2 linked regions of the Cricetulus griseus genome follow. The protein of the gene in region 2 interacts with the protein of the main gene of each other region in a biochemical or structural test. Links are inferred from orthologs where the notes say so. Each region holds a gene or a part of one and is shown on either strand. Other genes may lie near its edges.

Region 1 (8,171 bases), on a different chromosome or scaffold from region 2:
GCTGGGAACCAAACTTGGGCCCTCTGAGGAGCAGCACACACCCTTAGCTGATGTGCCACCTTCCAGCCCCAAAGGTCCTTTTATATAATTATTTTCCATGGACATTTTTAAAGTGATACCCAATTAGGACATCACACTCTCTTTCCTCAGGTCCAAACATCACCATAATGCCCCGGGTCCTGTTATTTCTCTCATCTTTGTTTATGTACCCAACTTCTTGACACTCTCTCAGTATGCGAACATCAATGTTTCTAGCCTAATGCCTGTTGGACTTGCCTTTAATGGGGGTCAAAACACCATTGCCCTAAGGCCTGACGGACTCTCCCTATTATAATATGTCAGATAGCAGACAGAACTCCACAATGGCTATCCTCTGCTCAAAGCCACTGATCCCAGCAGCACTTCCTGTCTCATGATGGTTTTAAGCTTGAAAACAAAATGGTTTGAGAGGGATTATGCAGGACTGGAATTCAAATAGGCAAACTACAAGTATACCTTATCTAAAACCCTGTTCTGTTGAAGCAGGGAGTAGTGATGCACGACTTTAGTCCCAGGACTTGGGAGGGGGAGGCGGAGGCAGGTGAATCTCTGAGTTCAAGGCCAACCTGGCCTACGTAGTGAATTCCAGAACACCCAGGGCTACATGGTGAGACCTGTCTCAAAAACAAGAGGAACAAAACCTGTTCAAACTGTGGTTAAGGTTGGTGTGACAGCTCAGTGGATGAAGGTCCTTGCTGTCAACTCTGACAATGACCCAAATGGTGGAAAGGAGGACCAACCCTGCTTGTTCTGTGACCTCCAAAGTATACTCTGTGGGAGGTGACACCTACATACAGAACCCACATAAATGGTTTTGAAAATGAGCAAAGTTAGAAGGGAAGGCGTACGTCTTCATCTGGTAGCAGCAGACACTCACTCTTTGTGCTCTTTGCTATAACTGTGGAGTAATGAGGCCACTCTGACAGCGGCGGTGTCAATGTCATCTCCCTTATTGTTGTCACTTTGAGGACACGGCTGACCAGGAGCTAGCCTAACCCCATGGTAGGGTGGCAGAGGAGCAAGTATGACTGGACAGTGGAAGGAGGAAGGAAGTGTGGAAGTAAGGGCTCAGTGACATCCTTGAAAGGTGGGATTGGAGGACCCGTGTCTAAGCTGATAAATGAGTTCTTCTCTTAACTGGGTGTGCAGTTTCTTTATACTGTGATCTGAAGCCTTCATATGTCCAGGGCCTCGGTAGGTGGCAGAGGTGCTGGATCCCAAAGCCAGAACTAAACACACCGTGCTGACTCGGCCATTCTCCATGGGAGTGCGTTGCATCAATTCACACAAGTTTTCACTGCCTTCTACTCTTACCCAGAGCACTTCTGACTAAAATGCCATCAACATCGTGGTCTCTGTAGATGAAAACCCAAAGGCACAGGCCATGTTTAAGACAAAACCTCTTCGCTGGGTGTTGGTAGCGCACGCCTTTAATCCCACCCAGCACTCGGGAGGCAGAAGCAGGCAATCTCTGTGAGTTTGAGACCACCTTGGTCTACAAGAGCTAGTTCCAGAACAGCCTCCAAAGCCACAGAGGAACCCTGTCTCGGGAAAAAAAGAAAAGAAAAGACAAAAACCCCTCACTTTGGCAGACCACACATTAAGTGTGGCCCCTGTATAAAGGTGACATGATGTGAAATGTTCCAGTTTTTAATAAAACCTTTTTTTTTTCAATGCCGTATCTAAACCCTTGTATGCCAAATTAAAAACAAAAGCAAACATCAGTAGGCAAGTAAGTATCTAGACAGTTTTTATCAGTATGGCAGGCAGTGTGAGGGACCTTTGTCCAGCCCCAGCTTCAGGTTTCTTTGAGCCTCCTCCCTTGTTGCTCTTCAGCAGGCTGGCCGCAGCTCTGGGCAGCCGCAAACATCCTTTCTCCTGTCTCTTCACTACAGTTCCTGGGGGCCATAGACCATTAGAGCTATACAGGAAGCCAGGGAGACTGCAGCAGCCATGAATGTAGGGAAGCCAGGGGGAGGGCTTGGGAAAGCTGAAAGTCAGCACTCAGCCAAATAACACTCAATTACAAAAGCACATGTGATGGGTACAGGGACTCCAGAATGAGAGGGGCTTCTCACCGGCTGGCTCAGAGCCGCCCACAGGTTCTACAGCCTGATAGAGACCATCCCAGGCCACAGAAGGGCTTCATAGGATGGCCACAGGAAGCACAGGAGGGTACTAGCAGAGAGTGCTATAGTACTCACACATGGTACCTGCATATCTGAAGACCTGTGAAACACCACAGAGCCTTCCCCAGCATCTTGAACTCAGACTCTGACTGCCCCAGAGGCCTAGGCTTGGGGTCGGGGGTTGGGGGGGGGAGGGGAAGAGTGAAGCTCTATAGAAAGAGGAGCACTCTTGGAGTCATCCAGTAAATCCTCCCTCTTCTAAAACTGTCTTAGAAGCCCTGACCCTCAGCCAGCTCTGAGCTAAAGGTGATACGAATCAGAAAAATTTCTGGAAGCCAGAATCAACCTTTTCCATGTGTTCCTTATGCTGCCTTAGAGTCAAGAGGCAGCAGCCATGTATCCCCCTGCTTCCACCTAATGCTCTAGTTACAGAACGAGAAATGGAGGCAAAGAAGCCAAACAATTCCTTAAGGTTATGGAGTGAGTTAGTGATCGCAACCAGCTAGGAGTCCTATTGGAGTCTGTGTGGATAACAGCAGTAGCATGTGTCTATCTCACTTCACCGCTTAAACTTTCCTCGGTCCCCTACCACACTTGCTGGAGACTCCCAGGTCTCTGCTCAAATATCTCCATGGCAACAACCAAGTCCAGAAAGACTATGTCTTGTCCTAGTCTCACAAGAGATTTTCAAGCCCACAGCTTGGCATTACCCTCAGGCTTGAATCTTTAAGTGATTTCATGTTACTGCTGGGGGGAGGGGGGCATCTATATTTAAGAGCCTTCAGGACCTATGACCCAGGTTGCTGCTCACCACTAGTTACACACACTCACCAGTAGTAACACACCTTGTACAGCCAAACTTTTACCCTCTGCCTCAGGGAGATTTACCAAGCACAGTCCTTTCCAGTGACAGCAGAGGGTGCACTCCTGCTGTACCACTGGCCAGCAACATAGACAGATTCTTGTATAACAGGCCCAGATCTCACTACCGGTCAAGTTCTCTTATTATTCTTGACCCTTGACCTACCCACCCCCACTCCCTTGAACCAAGTCTGTCTCAAGAGGCACATACCAAAACCGATGAGGCCCAGTGTTTCCCCTCGGATCCGGGCAGCTCCCGATGCAACCTCACGGATCTGTTCCACGCTCTGAACCCGTGTGCCTTCTCGTAGGGCCTGGTACAGCCATGTGTTCCGCCGATACAGATTGAGGATGTGGCAGACAGTGGAATCGGCTGTCTCCTCCACTGCAGCAGATGGGATGTTGCAAACAGCAATCCCTGAAAGGGAAATGGCCAGGCCCAGAGGTGAGCAAAGTCCCAGGATTCTGAGGTACCCTGCTTAGAAATGGAGAACTACTACTTCCTGTCCGGGGTTGGGTCAAGTATTTGGTAGGCCCTCTTCGTCTCAGAAGTACTCACCACTAACTACACACATATCCAACATGGTTTATAGGTTCAAGTCTTAGCTCACAGCCAGCCCAACTCCCCTTCTTTCCAGTCCTGGTCTGAGGCCCAAAGGAGCCCCAGAGCAGGCAGAAAGATGGTGGGTGCTTCAGTCCCAGATCTATCCGGGACAGGCCTGGAAGGGTGGAGGGACCAGAAATCCAGACTCTTTTCCAGGCTCATTGTGGAGCTATATGGGCAAGAGATTGTTTCCACCTTATGCACCCTAATGTAAACCCCAATACCCTAGTCACTAATTACTGTTGACACACAGCTCCAGGCAAGCATGCTGACACACACCTCTAACCTTAAACGCTGAAGGCTGAGGCAGGAGGATCTTGACTTTAGAGTTATCCACGTTTCTAAAGCTCATGGTTTATCTGATTCTGGCAGAGAGCAGGAGGCCTGAGGCCTGAGGTGGACCTGTCAGAGAATGGACTAAGCCCCCAGGAAGGAGGGGTGTGGGCACCAACTTCCCTTCAGCAGGGGGTGTTGAGGAAAGGTAGTAGCTTTCCCTGCCACTCTTCAGGCCAAAAGGCTCCATCTTGATTGATAGTTGCCATCTGGGCAGCAAGGTGCAGCTACCTTTCAAGGTAGCCTTGGGTTCTGTTGGCTTTTCAAGACTGGGGGATACGAAGATCACCTAGACGGAAGGTGATCAATAGTCCCTTAAACACCTTAGGTCTGTGGTATTATGTCTCTTCTTGTCTCTTCTTGCTACCATGACTGCCCTGGGGTCCAGTGATGTGACTCCTCCCAATAAAACAGACAGCTCAAAGCGAAGGAGGGCACCATGAGCAGGCCATCCTCTCTGCCTGGCTGCAGTGGACTTCTCTGGGCTACAGATAAATTTGCTAAGGAACCTTGATGATGGAAGCTATCTTTCCTATGAGTTGAAGAGCAGTAATCCTGCAAAACACAGGGGCCCCATTCATTTGGAATGACTCAGCATGGGATCTCGGGCTATTATTATATTGTTATGACGCATTTCAGTCCTCTGAGAAAAAGCCCAGTGGGTGGTAATCAGATTCGGCTGTGTGCCCAGCTGTGGTTCAGGGATGTCATAGCTTAGCTGACCAATGACAATCAGTGCAGGCAGGCCCCCATATGATAAAGGCAAGGTGAGAGTTCTATATAAAGAGGGAGACCAAGGCAGGATGTTTGCTCAACTCAAAACCACAATGTGGATATGTAGCTTCTTGGCTCTAGCACCCTCGTGGAGAGGCGGAACCCAAGCCTGGGAATAATTAATAATTGGACAAGAAGAGGAACCATCTTGCCAGAAACGGCAGACAGCTGTCCGTTGATCATTGAAGTGGGTCTTGTAGACATGCCAAAGAGTTCAGTGGATATGTTCTCCCCAGGGTAACCTCCAAGTGCCAATTCCCATATGGTTCTCTGACGTCCCGAGAAAAAGACCATGGTTTTAAATGAGGAAATGAAGGAGTCACTGTAAGTGGCTCCAAATAGCTGAATAACCTTCTGAGGAGAGACCAAGGATGTTCCATTACCTGTGTTATGCATGATCTCTGGAGAACTAGGGTGTTGTGGGTAAGTGCTGCCCTGCATTAAACAGATTGAAGGGCTGCACCTATAGATACAGAGGGCTTCACACAAGACCCAGTTATCACTACCTGCTAGGTCCACTGTGGAGTGTTCCCTTCCAGGAACAGGGCACACCTGCCACTCGTCTTACTACTCTCCAAAGGGTCTGCTGGCTGACTTGATAGGCACCATATGTACTTAGAGCTAAATGACAGACACTGCTGGAGGACCATCTATTTCATTAGCAGAAGTCTTCTGAATAGCCACTCCAATCACAATGGGCCACAATAGTGACACTTCGTGTCCCCTTTACACTTTTCAACGCTCTGGCCCTAGGCAGTCTGTTTCTTGGACTCTGACTGGAGAAGAGGGGCTGACTACCAACAGGAACTATGTGTGAGAGACAATGGGCTAGAAAGCTGAATGTCTTCCTGCATAGTCCCAACTCAGGGAATTTATCTCTATTCCTGACAGACACACGTCTTTTGTTTGCTTTTTTTCTAGACAGGGTTTCTCTATGTAACAGCCCTGGCCTGGAATTAACTCCATTGGCCAAGCTGGCCTTGAACTCAGAGATCTACCTGCCTCTGCCTCCCAGAGTACTGAGATTAAAGGTGTGTGGCCACTTCCTTCAGGCTCAGATACATATTTTTAAACACAAGCATACTTGCTCGTGTCTGGGAAACATCTTTTTTCTTTTCTTTCTTTTTCTGAGACAGGGTCTAAGTAGCTAAGGCTAGGCTCAAACTTGCTATGCAGACCAGGGTGGCCTCAAACTCAAGAGACCTCCCTGGATAACAGGTGTATAACACCGCACCAGGTAGTTTTCTCAATTAAACTCAGGTACGTGGCCTCACATCAATCACAACAAGTTTCTTCTGTTGCCAAAGAGGGGCTCAGAGGGGCTGTAACTGGAAAAGAACAAGGCTGCTTAGGGTAGGGACATAGGAAGCCATGATTACCCAGGACTCTCAAAAGCCCGGGCTGAATAGGACTGATTCTGCTTTACATGAGATGTCTACCTTCCCCTGTGAGGTTGCCCCACAGACATACTGTGGGCATTGGCTGGTGCCACCCGGCACAGCTTCCTTTGTCCTTTTCTTATCCTGGGGTTCAGGCTCATAGTAACTGCTGCTCTAAATGCAAAGAAACAGAAAACTAAAAACAGGCACCCACCCCTCTCAAAGCTGCAGGCTCAGACTGTGAAGGGAAGTTGGATCCAGTGCTGCTTCAGTGGCCAGCATGGCGGGTGTGTCTGGGTTATAGACAGAGCTGTCGAGTCTAGCGTTAGGCCCGGTGCAGAGATGACTGTGAGGCACTGCGCACACCTGGCTTTGCTGTCCTAGGAGTTAGTTCCAGGAGCCCTTGGGGTGAGGCAGCAGCAGGTGGTAGGCCCAGGCTGATGGTACGAGCATTACTATGCTCAGGCTGCTGTGGCACCATCGGTACATGGGTTTCTAGTTATTCTGAGGTATTTCAAATGCATGAGGCTCATGAATAAAGAGGCGGCACACTTTATTCAGACAAAATACGTGGCTCTGAGGCACTCCCCACTGACCCCCCCAGGCTCTGCTGCCAGTGTACACCAATTCTCATGGGGGTGTGGGCAGGAGTCCCCTGTGCCACTCAGGTACTCTACCTTCCTGCTTAGCTTTCTACCCGCCTGTGGTTTTCTCTGAGAAGCACCCTGGGAATGGACAGCAGGTGGTGGCCAGCTTCTTTTGGTGTGCTCAATGAAGAACTCACTAATCTACTGCTTATCTCAAGATCTTCCAGCCCCTGAACCTGCTTCGAGCTGAGGCTGGGCAAAGGTGCATGGGAAAATGGAAACAAGACTCCCTAGGACAACTGCCCTGCCTTCTGCGTTCTGCCCATTACTGAGTGTGGCCTCCAGGCAGCCAGCATGGCCTTTCGACTCACCGAGCTCACCAGCAGCCTTGATGTCCACGTTGTCATAGCCACTGCCAATTCTCACGATCACACGAAGAGCCTTGAACTTCTCCAGGTCTTCCCTGGTGAGGGTGATAGTGTGGTACATCATGGCACCCACAGCCTCATTCAACACCTGTGGGCAGGGACATGAGTCACAGGTCAGAACCCCTGGGAACACAAGGCTCTGAGACTTTGTTAGCAGAAATTATAGGATGGAGACATGGAGTAAGTGCCTGAGGGTGGCAGAGTAGGCTAAGGACATCGGGAATTCCATACACTTTAGGCATTCCTGTGTGTGACTACTGTGCTTACTGACATCAGCTGGCCTGGAGGGGCCCAGGTAAGGTGGGGTGCAACCCACCTTTTCATGGATTTCCTGAGTAGACTGTGCATCACAGAAGGCCACAGTGGCCAGATCCTTCAGGATGGGCATTTCCACGGTACAGTCTCTGCCGTCGAGCAGTGCCACTAGGGGGCGGGGATGCAGGGGGCCGTTCATGATCTGAGGGCGGATACCTATAAGGAGAAGAAATGTGTGGTAAGTACACTGTAGGGAGGGTGTCCTCAGTGGCTGATGCCAAGGCAAGCAGAGAGCACACAAGTCTGGTGGAGCCAAGGACATGACACAGCTTTACCAGCTAACGGGGGGGGGGGGGGCGGCAGCAGGGAGTGAGGGGTAGTGATGTTCCTAGATCACTGGAGGGTAAGTGCAGAGTTCTGGTATGAACTCACTTCGCTCTAAGACCCAGAGGGGCAATTGTATAGCTCACTTGAATTGCCCCATAAAGTAAAACTCTGGTCCAGTGAGATGGCTCAATGGGTAAAGGCACTTGCCACCAAGCCGCATGGCTTCAGGGTAACTGACTCCCACAGTGCAGGAGAGAACTGACCCCTGCAAGTTGTCCTATGATTTCACATGTGAACATACACAGACCCGAGAGCTGTGTCCATCTCCCTCTGGCACCCTCTCACTGCATGCAGAGACATCCTCACACCATACTGGCAGTCAGGGCAGACAGTGAGCCCAGAGTAGAGAGAATGTCTTTGTCCTGGTCTTACGGGAACAAGCTGTGTTGAAAGGG
Region 2 (8,171 bases):
TCAAGTAAGAGCAAAAAAAAAAAAAAAGAAAAAAAGTCTTTGCCTGTGTGGTTAATAATTATCCCCATGGGCATTAAATGCAATCACCAGGGACCTGAAAAAAATACAAAGGCAGAACAGGAGGCTCTGGGCCCATGGAGACCCAGTTTGGAGCAACTCATAGGAGAAGGAATGTTGGCATCCGGAGAACTGGAAGGCCCACTGAAAGCATCAGTCCAGCAGAAGAAGCACAGACATACCACATTTTAGTGTCGGATTTCTCACCTCTAAATCTGTGAAAGGATACATTTCTGTCTGAAGTAACAAAGTTTGTGGTAATTTGTTACAAAAGATCTGGAGAAGCACCAGAGGCCTTCTCTACTTCCATTGACATTTGAACTCAGTTTGCAGCTATGGCGGAGAGGACAAAATAGCTGTGATCTTAGCTGTTTGGCTTGTTCTTTTCCACCTGAGGAAAAGTAACACCGGAAGAAGGAAGCCTGTGGTGAGGGAATGCAGTACTACCCAAGCTAAGCTCTTGGGTCTAAGGGAGACAATTTTTTTTTTCCTTAGGTTCTCCTCAGGCTACAGTTTCCAGAGACCCCCTGTCCCCGGAAACAGATACCTTGTAAGTTGAAAGAGGGCACTGGGTGAGAAAATAAAGGACAGGAGGAGAGGGCATTCTTCCTGGTAACATCAACTGGGACATGGAAAATTGCCTGGTCCTGAGCAGATAGCATGTTCCTTGAGGCAGGTGAAGGACCAGGATGCCCTTTAGTCTCACTAGCATAGGCTTGCCGTGTTCCGGCTTTAGTGGGATGTTGACGGTAATCCAGACTCTTGGGACTCAGCACTGGGAGCAGGAGTTGGGTTTGCCAGCTTCCTGAAAAACTCTGCTGCAAAGGGTGCTGTAATAGCAAAAGCTTCAGCAGACTGCAGGGCACTGACTTCCTGAAATATCCCCCCCCCTGTGTTTCTCCAATATGTAGGGCAATTCCCCCATACTTCCTTACATTTTTGTGACTATTTTCCTACATGAAACTCTTTTTGAAAGAATTTACACTAAGTCCCGACTTTCCTAGTAAACAGCCTGTCATACATCGATCGCTTTATTTCCCAAAGTGCCTATCATCATATTTAAAGCCAATCTCTTGAAAACTATCTGACACATCGTGTCTTTCCATCAATAATTTCATTAAGTCAGGTTAACCTTCAACTTACCATTCACGTAGTCTTCTATTTTGAGTCACTTACATATCCATGTGCAAACTCTTCTCTGTTTAGATTATTCATTTCTCAGTCCATTCACAGATATTTATCGAATACATCTTTGTTGTTCAGGAGTGATGAGAAGAAAAGTTGTAGACAGAGGTTCAAATTATAGTTATTCCAGATGCTTTCCCACGCCTACTTATTTAATTTGTGGTTCAGTTCACTCTCTGAGATTTGTTTCTTCTTAACATAGTTTTATGATGATCTAGCTGGAGGAGTACACAGAAATTGCCAATACTAACTCAAGAAATTAGAAGTTGGACTCTTTCAAACCACGGAATACCACTGGGCTTAACTAAATCTGAAAATGAGTATCTGATTTTAATGGCAAACATTTAAAATTAATCCTATCAAGATGAGTCCCATAAGGGTTCAGTATTACAAGATCATGTTAAAGATGAATGATGACATTAGAAAGTGGGGGCTGCCATTTACTTCTTAAATCCACAAAGTTCAAAATACATATTACTTGTATTACATTTTTTATTACATGGCAAAGTGATCCAAGATGAGATTATTTCAAGTCTATAAAAACTGGAATCTAGGAATAATATCATCTAAAAAACAACTCTAGGTAATTTTGGCTTTTAATAATAAAGATTGATACTGTGGTGGAACAAGATTGCCTGTTATTGTAGGAAAGCCAACCTTACATTCTCGTGACATGACTACTATTCTTTGTTTTCTTTTTTTGGTTTTTCGAGACAGGGTTTCTCTGTGTAGCTTTGGAGCCTGTCCTGGCACTCCTCTGGAGACCAGGCTGGCCTTGAACTTATAGAGATCCACCTGGACATGACTACTGTAATTACTGAGAAACAAAGGCATTTTCTGAATGGGTGCTTGCCGTGTGGAACTGTCAAGACTTTCATCCCCTACATAAATTCATAGTAAAAATAACCTACGAAATAAACAGATCTTGGTCATTTTGTTTTCACAGTTCCTATTAGGGCAATGTTTCTTTTCATAGATATAATACACCATGGACCATATTTTCTAGTTTTCATTTGTTTGCCCTTTGGGCATGTGAAATGCCACTCAGCATTTTTCACTGAACAAAAGGGAATTGGTCCCAAAGATAATAAATTTAACACACAAAAGTAATAGGTTGATTGTCAATGCCACTGATGTTGAGGTGTAGATTGAATAATGGCCTAATATTTACTGGAGTCTGTGGGAACATAAGGTTGTAGGGGGAACTCCTTCGAGTGGTCAATCCCATGTAGAGATTGAGCTCAGGCTAGAATGGAGAAAATGCTTCTCATTATTTGTGAGCTAGTACAGGATGCACAGCACAGCCCGTAGCCATGGATTCCCTCAGGGCACACAGAACCAGAGAGCTATGCGTTGTGAGTACACAGTGAGAGGTATTCTTTCCACTGAACACTAAGGGGATAATGTTAGGGTGCGCTGTCAGATGCTTTTGATTGTGTGGCAAAGGACAAGCCGAGTGTGGCATATGGGGGTGAGTGTTACCACTAGGCAGGGTGGTTATCCTTCCAAGGTTGGTGGTCTCTGAAGGCATCAATCACACACTCTGGAAATCTAGAGTCACACTCTAGAGCTTGGAGGAGGCTGATGTCGCTGAAATGATCTCTTTGGTAAAGGTTGGCTTTCCTTTAAGTCACACATCAGACATCAACCGTGGACTGATGGGGGAGGTCCTTCTGTGTATATGTTAATCTTATTGGTTGTTGAATAAAGCACTGTTGGCCAATAGTGGAGCAAGATAGGCAGGACTAGAAGTCAGGAGAATTCTGGGAAATGAAGTAAGAGATCCAGGCAGGAAGTGACATAGCAAGAAGATTCAGAATATAAGCAGGAAATGGCACTCTTGCTCTCTCTTCTTCCTCCTGCTGTCTTCTCCACTGAAGCCACCATGTGATCCTGGGAAGAGGATGCCAGCAGAAGGTGTCCTCTATAAGATAAGTCTTATAAAATATATAGATTTATGATAATTAAGACTGAGCTAGCATATAAGAAATCCTAGTCAATTGGCCAGCAGCATTATAAACTAATATAAGGCTCTGTGTGTTATTCTGGGTGCCCACGTGGTGGCGGGGCTCGGGCAGACAGAGTAAAGACTTATCGTTACAGTGGGCCCCATGCATCCCTTGCCTCTGCATTTACAGTGTGACGTGGATGCACACATAATTGAGAACAACTCCTGGGGTTTCTGCTGCTTTCTCATTAGCTCTGCAACTTTGGATGCTTAAAAATCTGAGACTTCTAGTAGGGCTGGAAAACGCAAAGGGATTCAGTGTTCTTAACAGTTCCTACAGTGGTTTGCTTTTTGGTTTGAGTTAAGACATTCAACATAAATGTCGGATATTTTTAAACCCAGTTCAGATTGTAAGCATTAGTTGAGTAGTCCGAGTAATGGTGGTAAAAAGATATGGTTTATGTTCATTTTTTTCTTTAGATTTTTCTATAGTATTTAAATTCACTAGAAAATACTAAAATCTGTCAAATCGGAAGCTAAGGTAGTGGTTACCACCATTGGCGTCAAACTACCCTCCCACAGGGGTCACCCAAGACCTTTGGAAAACACAAATGTTTACATTATGATTGATAACAGTAGGAAAATTACAGCTATGAGGTAGCAACAAAAATAATGTTATGCCTGGGGGTTCCCCACAACCACGAGGAACTGTAATAAAGGGTCACAGTGCCGGGAAGGTAGAGAACCACTATGTTAAGGGGATGCCTGCAATTTTGGTTTACTGCCATGGCTGCTGCTGTAGCCACAACAGAGGCATCCTAGGTTGGTATGTCTCGAGTGTAACTGAGAATGGCTGGGTTCAACAGAGGCAATGAAAAACACAGTTCCATTTTTTGAAAGGGAGTTGGCAACAGAAATTAACATGTAACTGATGATAAAGTGTTGCTATTTAGTGTGGGACACAATGAGAGTTGGATACTGTTTCCTTGGTGCTTAATGGGGGTGAAAAAAGGCCAGGACATCCAATTTCTCCAACAATTTGGAATTTTATTCCATCCATATACATGCATAGTAACAACATTTGTTGAGAAATTATTTCTATCAGAAGTAGAACATTATCTTTGTGATCACCAGGGGCAGTATTGCTACTCTGATATTTAAATAGATCTTATATATGAATTAAATTCATACTTGCAGCATCGAGTTTAGGGGTTCAATTTAGACTGTGCCTCTCAAAAGATAAAACTGATTAATACTACTCCGTTACTTACAATACTGCTTCCAGTAATTTTGTTCATTCTTTATAAAGTATTGCATTTAACAGCAAAGGTTTAAAAACTGAGACAGGGCTGCATTGGCGAAAGAAAATACAAGTACTATACAAGAAAGCAAAATGCCATCTTCATTTAACATACATGTTTTAAGTTTGAGAAAATGGACAGAAATATACGGCTACGTACGAATGCAAAGCCTAGTGACGAAGAGACTGTATTTGCTAAAATATAAAGTGCAAATGGAGCCTGATTATCCAAGAATTGAAATCTTAAGGCGAACTTACAGCACGTGTATTTAGAACATGTTTGCAGGTTATATTTTAGCATATACATATATCTGCAACAGCATATAAGAAAAAACCAGGATACACAGGTGCTTTGGAAGCTATTTCTAAAATGCTTTTCTGTATTGTTTGTGACTATTTTCTTTAAAAGCTACTATACAGTGCAAACCGTATATGCTACACAATAACTATACAGTAACATTACAAATGACTTTAATATAAAGTTTTTAAATAAAAAATAACATAACCACAGCTATGAATACTGCTGGTAAAATAAATTAATTTTTTTGTCTGGAAAATGGCACCAATAATACACTTTACTAATGGTCTGTAATGAAATTACATCGTGAGTCTTCAACTCAGCCGTAATGGGTGTCTCCTGATTGCCAGATGTAATTCAAAGAGCGTCCTTGTTTATTTCTGGACTGTTTAGAAGAACATACTAAACAGTGGTACCAAAGGTGACTGTTTTCTTTCTTTCTTTTCTTTTCTTTTTGTAGGTTCAGTTAGTTCATTTGACATGTTCGGCTGCATGTGATGAGCAATAGAACTTCTTGTGAGTTATAAAGTTTGAGAGGTTATTGAACTGGATATCGCATAGCCGGCAGTATTTCCCACTGCTGGGAGCCTGGGCGGAGCCGTTCACGCCTTTTGCTATGCTGGACAACTGTTCTTCTGCCGAGGGAATTCCTGGGGAGACGTTCTCATTCGCAGCTAACGTGTTTTCAGAGATCCACGAAGGGGATTTGTGGTCATCGTCGTGCTGGGCGTTCTGCGAAATGTTCTCTTGCTGTGGGTTGGCCGTGGGCCTTTCGTCTGGCTTTAGTCCCCCATTCACTATGACCATGCCCCTGTTCTTGGGCAACAGTGGCAGAGAGTCTTTCTTGGGCACGGCGGCACAACCGTTCGAGGAGGCCTGGCCTTTAGGAGACTCGTTTTCTGCGTTTGTGCTTTGCTCTACGTCGGGGTTGTGCAGGGCCAGAGAACCAGGGATGTAATCGCCTGGCTTTATGCCGTAGTAGGGAGAGAGCTGGTCGGCTCCTTTCGCCTTCTTTATTGCTCCGGGGTAAAGGCATTGGGGAAGAAACAAGTGTTTGCTTTCTTCCTTGGTGGCGATGAGCTGAGCGGCTTCGCTGAAGACTTTCAGGCCCTGCAAGGTGGCTAAATGGGAGGAGAAGAGGTTTCCGTTGGGAGAAGGCTGCTTCGGATTCCCGTTCTTCTCACATTTGATCATGTTTCTTTCGAAGCCCACGTCGGGGCTGCTGCGCTCGCTCTCTGGATGCGGGAACGCCTTGCCGTCCAGCTGGCTCAGGTCGCTGCGCTGATGGGCAGTCACCGGGCAGAAGTTCTGCTTGTGGGCCAGGTAGTTCTCCACCTTGTTGAAGCTGATCTTGCACACGGTGCACTCGTGGTAGTCGAGCAGCCGTTTGGGAGAGGCGGTGGTCCGCTCAGACTGCGAGAGACACTTTTTGCTGAGATCCATGGGCACGTCCATCTGATCCAGGCAGGAAACGCTGGGGTGGGTCGCGGTGTCACACTTGGGGACCACCGGGACGCATTTGTTCATGGCCAGCGAGGTTTCCAAGTGCTTCGAGACGATTCCCGGGAAGAGGTCGCATCTCGGGTGGTAGCATTCTCCCAGCCCTTCGCTGGGCTCCTGGGTGGAGCTACAGGGGTTGCCGAGGTTGGCTACATCCAGGAACCTCTGCTGGACCAGGGGCGGCCTTTGCTCCTGCTCGGGCAGGCACATCTCGTACATCTTCCTTCGCTTGCGGGTGCGCATGGTTCTCTGCATGGCCGGCACTTTGCTGGACGCAGACCTCTTCAGGGGAGGGTCGTGGCGTGTTGCACAGTAATACTGTTTGTGGACCATGTAGGTTTCGTGCCTGCTGAAGGTGATGTTGCAAGCCTCGCAGGTCGTCTTATTGGGGTCGCCCTCCCCGTCCACTAAGGGGCCGCTGGCATTCTTCACATCCACGGGCTTCCCGTTCATTTTGTCTTCGTTGCTGGTGGAGGTGGACAGCTTCTTGGCTTGGGCGGAAAAGTCCTTCTCGTGGCTTTTCCCGTTTGGCCCGATCAAGTCTAAGACGGTGGAAGAGTTGATGCACGCCGCCGCCGCCGCCGTTTGAAGAAGCGGCGTCGTCTCCGGGTCCGAGGAATGAACGGCTGGGTTGAGGAGGTTGATGGAAGCCTGGCCAGTGTTGGGACTCACGGCTTCGGGCATCTTTTCCGAAACCCCCGGAAAGTCGGGGGACTTGGCCATCTGCTGCCACCGGCTGCTGCAGTAGTGTTTTTTATGAACTAGGTAGTTATCCAAGTTGTTGAATGTTATGTTACACTCAAAGCATGTAGCCCCTTTGGGCATCAGAGGGCTGTAGATGACGGGAGGGTAGCTACTACTCCCGTGTCTCAGTCGCCGGTGGACCAGCTCGGACATCTTGGCTAAGATCTCTGAAGCCTGAGGGACCATGGTGATATCTTGGGGGAAAGCGAACTGAGACAGGAAAGGCCCCACGGGGAAGGAGGGCCCCATGTTGGGTTGCACCGGCGAGGAAGCGAGTCTCGGGCTGGAGGGCTCAGACTTGATTTTTGTGTAAGAAAAGCTTTGTTTGTTGGCTGCCGGCTGTATCTCTGGTCTCTGGCTGCCCAGGAAGAGCTGAGTCTTTTTCTCACACTTGTCCAGTTCCGTGTCTGAGCTCGCATCTTTAGTCTGCATGGCCTTTTGGCTCTGGGAGAGGTCGCTCCTGGCCAGCAAGTCTGTGGCTGGCTGTAAGCCGTCTTCAGTTCCACTTGGAGAGTGCTCCATGTCGCTTTCTCTGGGAAGTTTGCCACCACCGGGGACATGGAGGTCCTGGTGCTGCAGTAACTCCCTCTGAGTCTGGAAGCCAAAATGGCAGTGGCTGCACCGGAAGGCAGCTTGACTGAGATGGGAGAAGAGGTGTTGGTGGAAGTTGATCACGGAATCAGCCGTGTAGCTGCAGACCGTGCATTTTAAGCTTGCCCCCGGGGGAAGGAACTCCTCCATTTTCACGCCTGCAAAGACAGACAAAGTGGGAAAGCTGAGAACCACACCCGCTTGCTTCCCAGTGACGGGAAACTTGACTAGGGAGCTTCAACACACCTTCAGCTCCTCATCTGTGACACGGACAGTTTAGTGCCATCCGTAATTATCATCTCCTAAGCCTCTTTGCGAGTGATACGGTATAGGTGGGGAGAATTATCGGTACGTCTATTGTGTGGGTCAATAAACAAACTTTAAAAAAAAGCAGGAGAATTATAATAATCAAGCCGAGTAAAATAGTGTCATGCCTAAGGCTTAGGCTTGTGATTTTTTTTTTTCTTTGTTTTTCGAGACAGGGTTTCTCTGTGTAGCTTTGGAGCCTATCCTGGCACTCGCTCTGGAGACCAGGCTGGCCTCGAACT

What was found. The genes of interacting proteins can lie anywhere in the genome.
Region 1: the proteins of Zfpm2 (region 2) and Ctbp2 form a complex in vitro, tested with the Homo sapiens proteins (2 studies listed by BioGRID). The link is inferred for Cricetulus griseus from reciprocal best matches to the Homo sapiens genes ZFPM2 and CTBP2.

What each region holds. Positions count from the first base shown.
Region 1 is NC_048596.1:67,839,741-67,847,911, reverse strand, and holds part of Ctbp2 (C-terminal-binding protein 2), read right to left. Parts: intron 7,606-8,171; coding exon 7,451-7,605; intron 7,223-7,450; coding exon 7,078-7,222; intron 3,448-7,077; coding exon 3,241-3,447; intron 1-3,240. UniProt on the Homo sapiens protein: Corepressor targeting diverse transcription regulators. Functions in brown adipose tissue (BAT) differentiation. Isoform 2 probably acts as a scaffold for specialized synapses.
Region 2 is NC_048603.1:11,223,085-11,231,255, forward strand, and holds the end of Zfpm2 (zinc finger protein ZFPM2), read right to left. Parts: intron 7,782-8,171; coding exon 5,260-7,781; 3' UTR 3,265-5,259; downstream 1-3,264. UniProt on the Homo sapiens protein: Transcription regulator that plays a central role in heart morphogenesis and development of coronary vessels from epicardium, by regulating genes that are essential during cardiogenesis.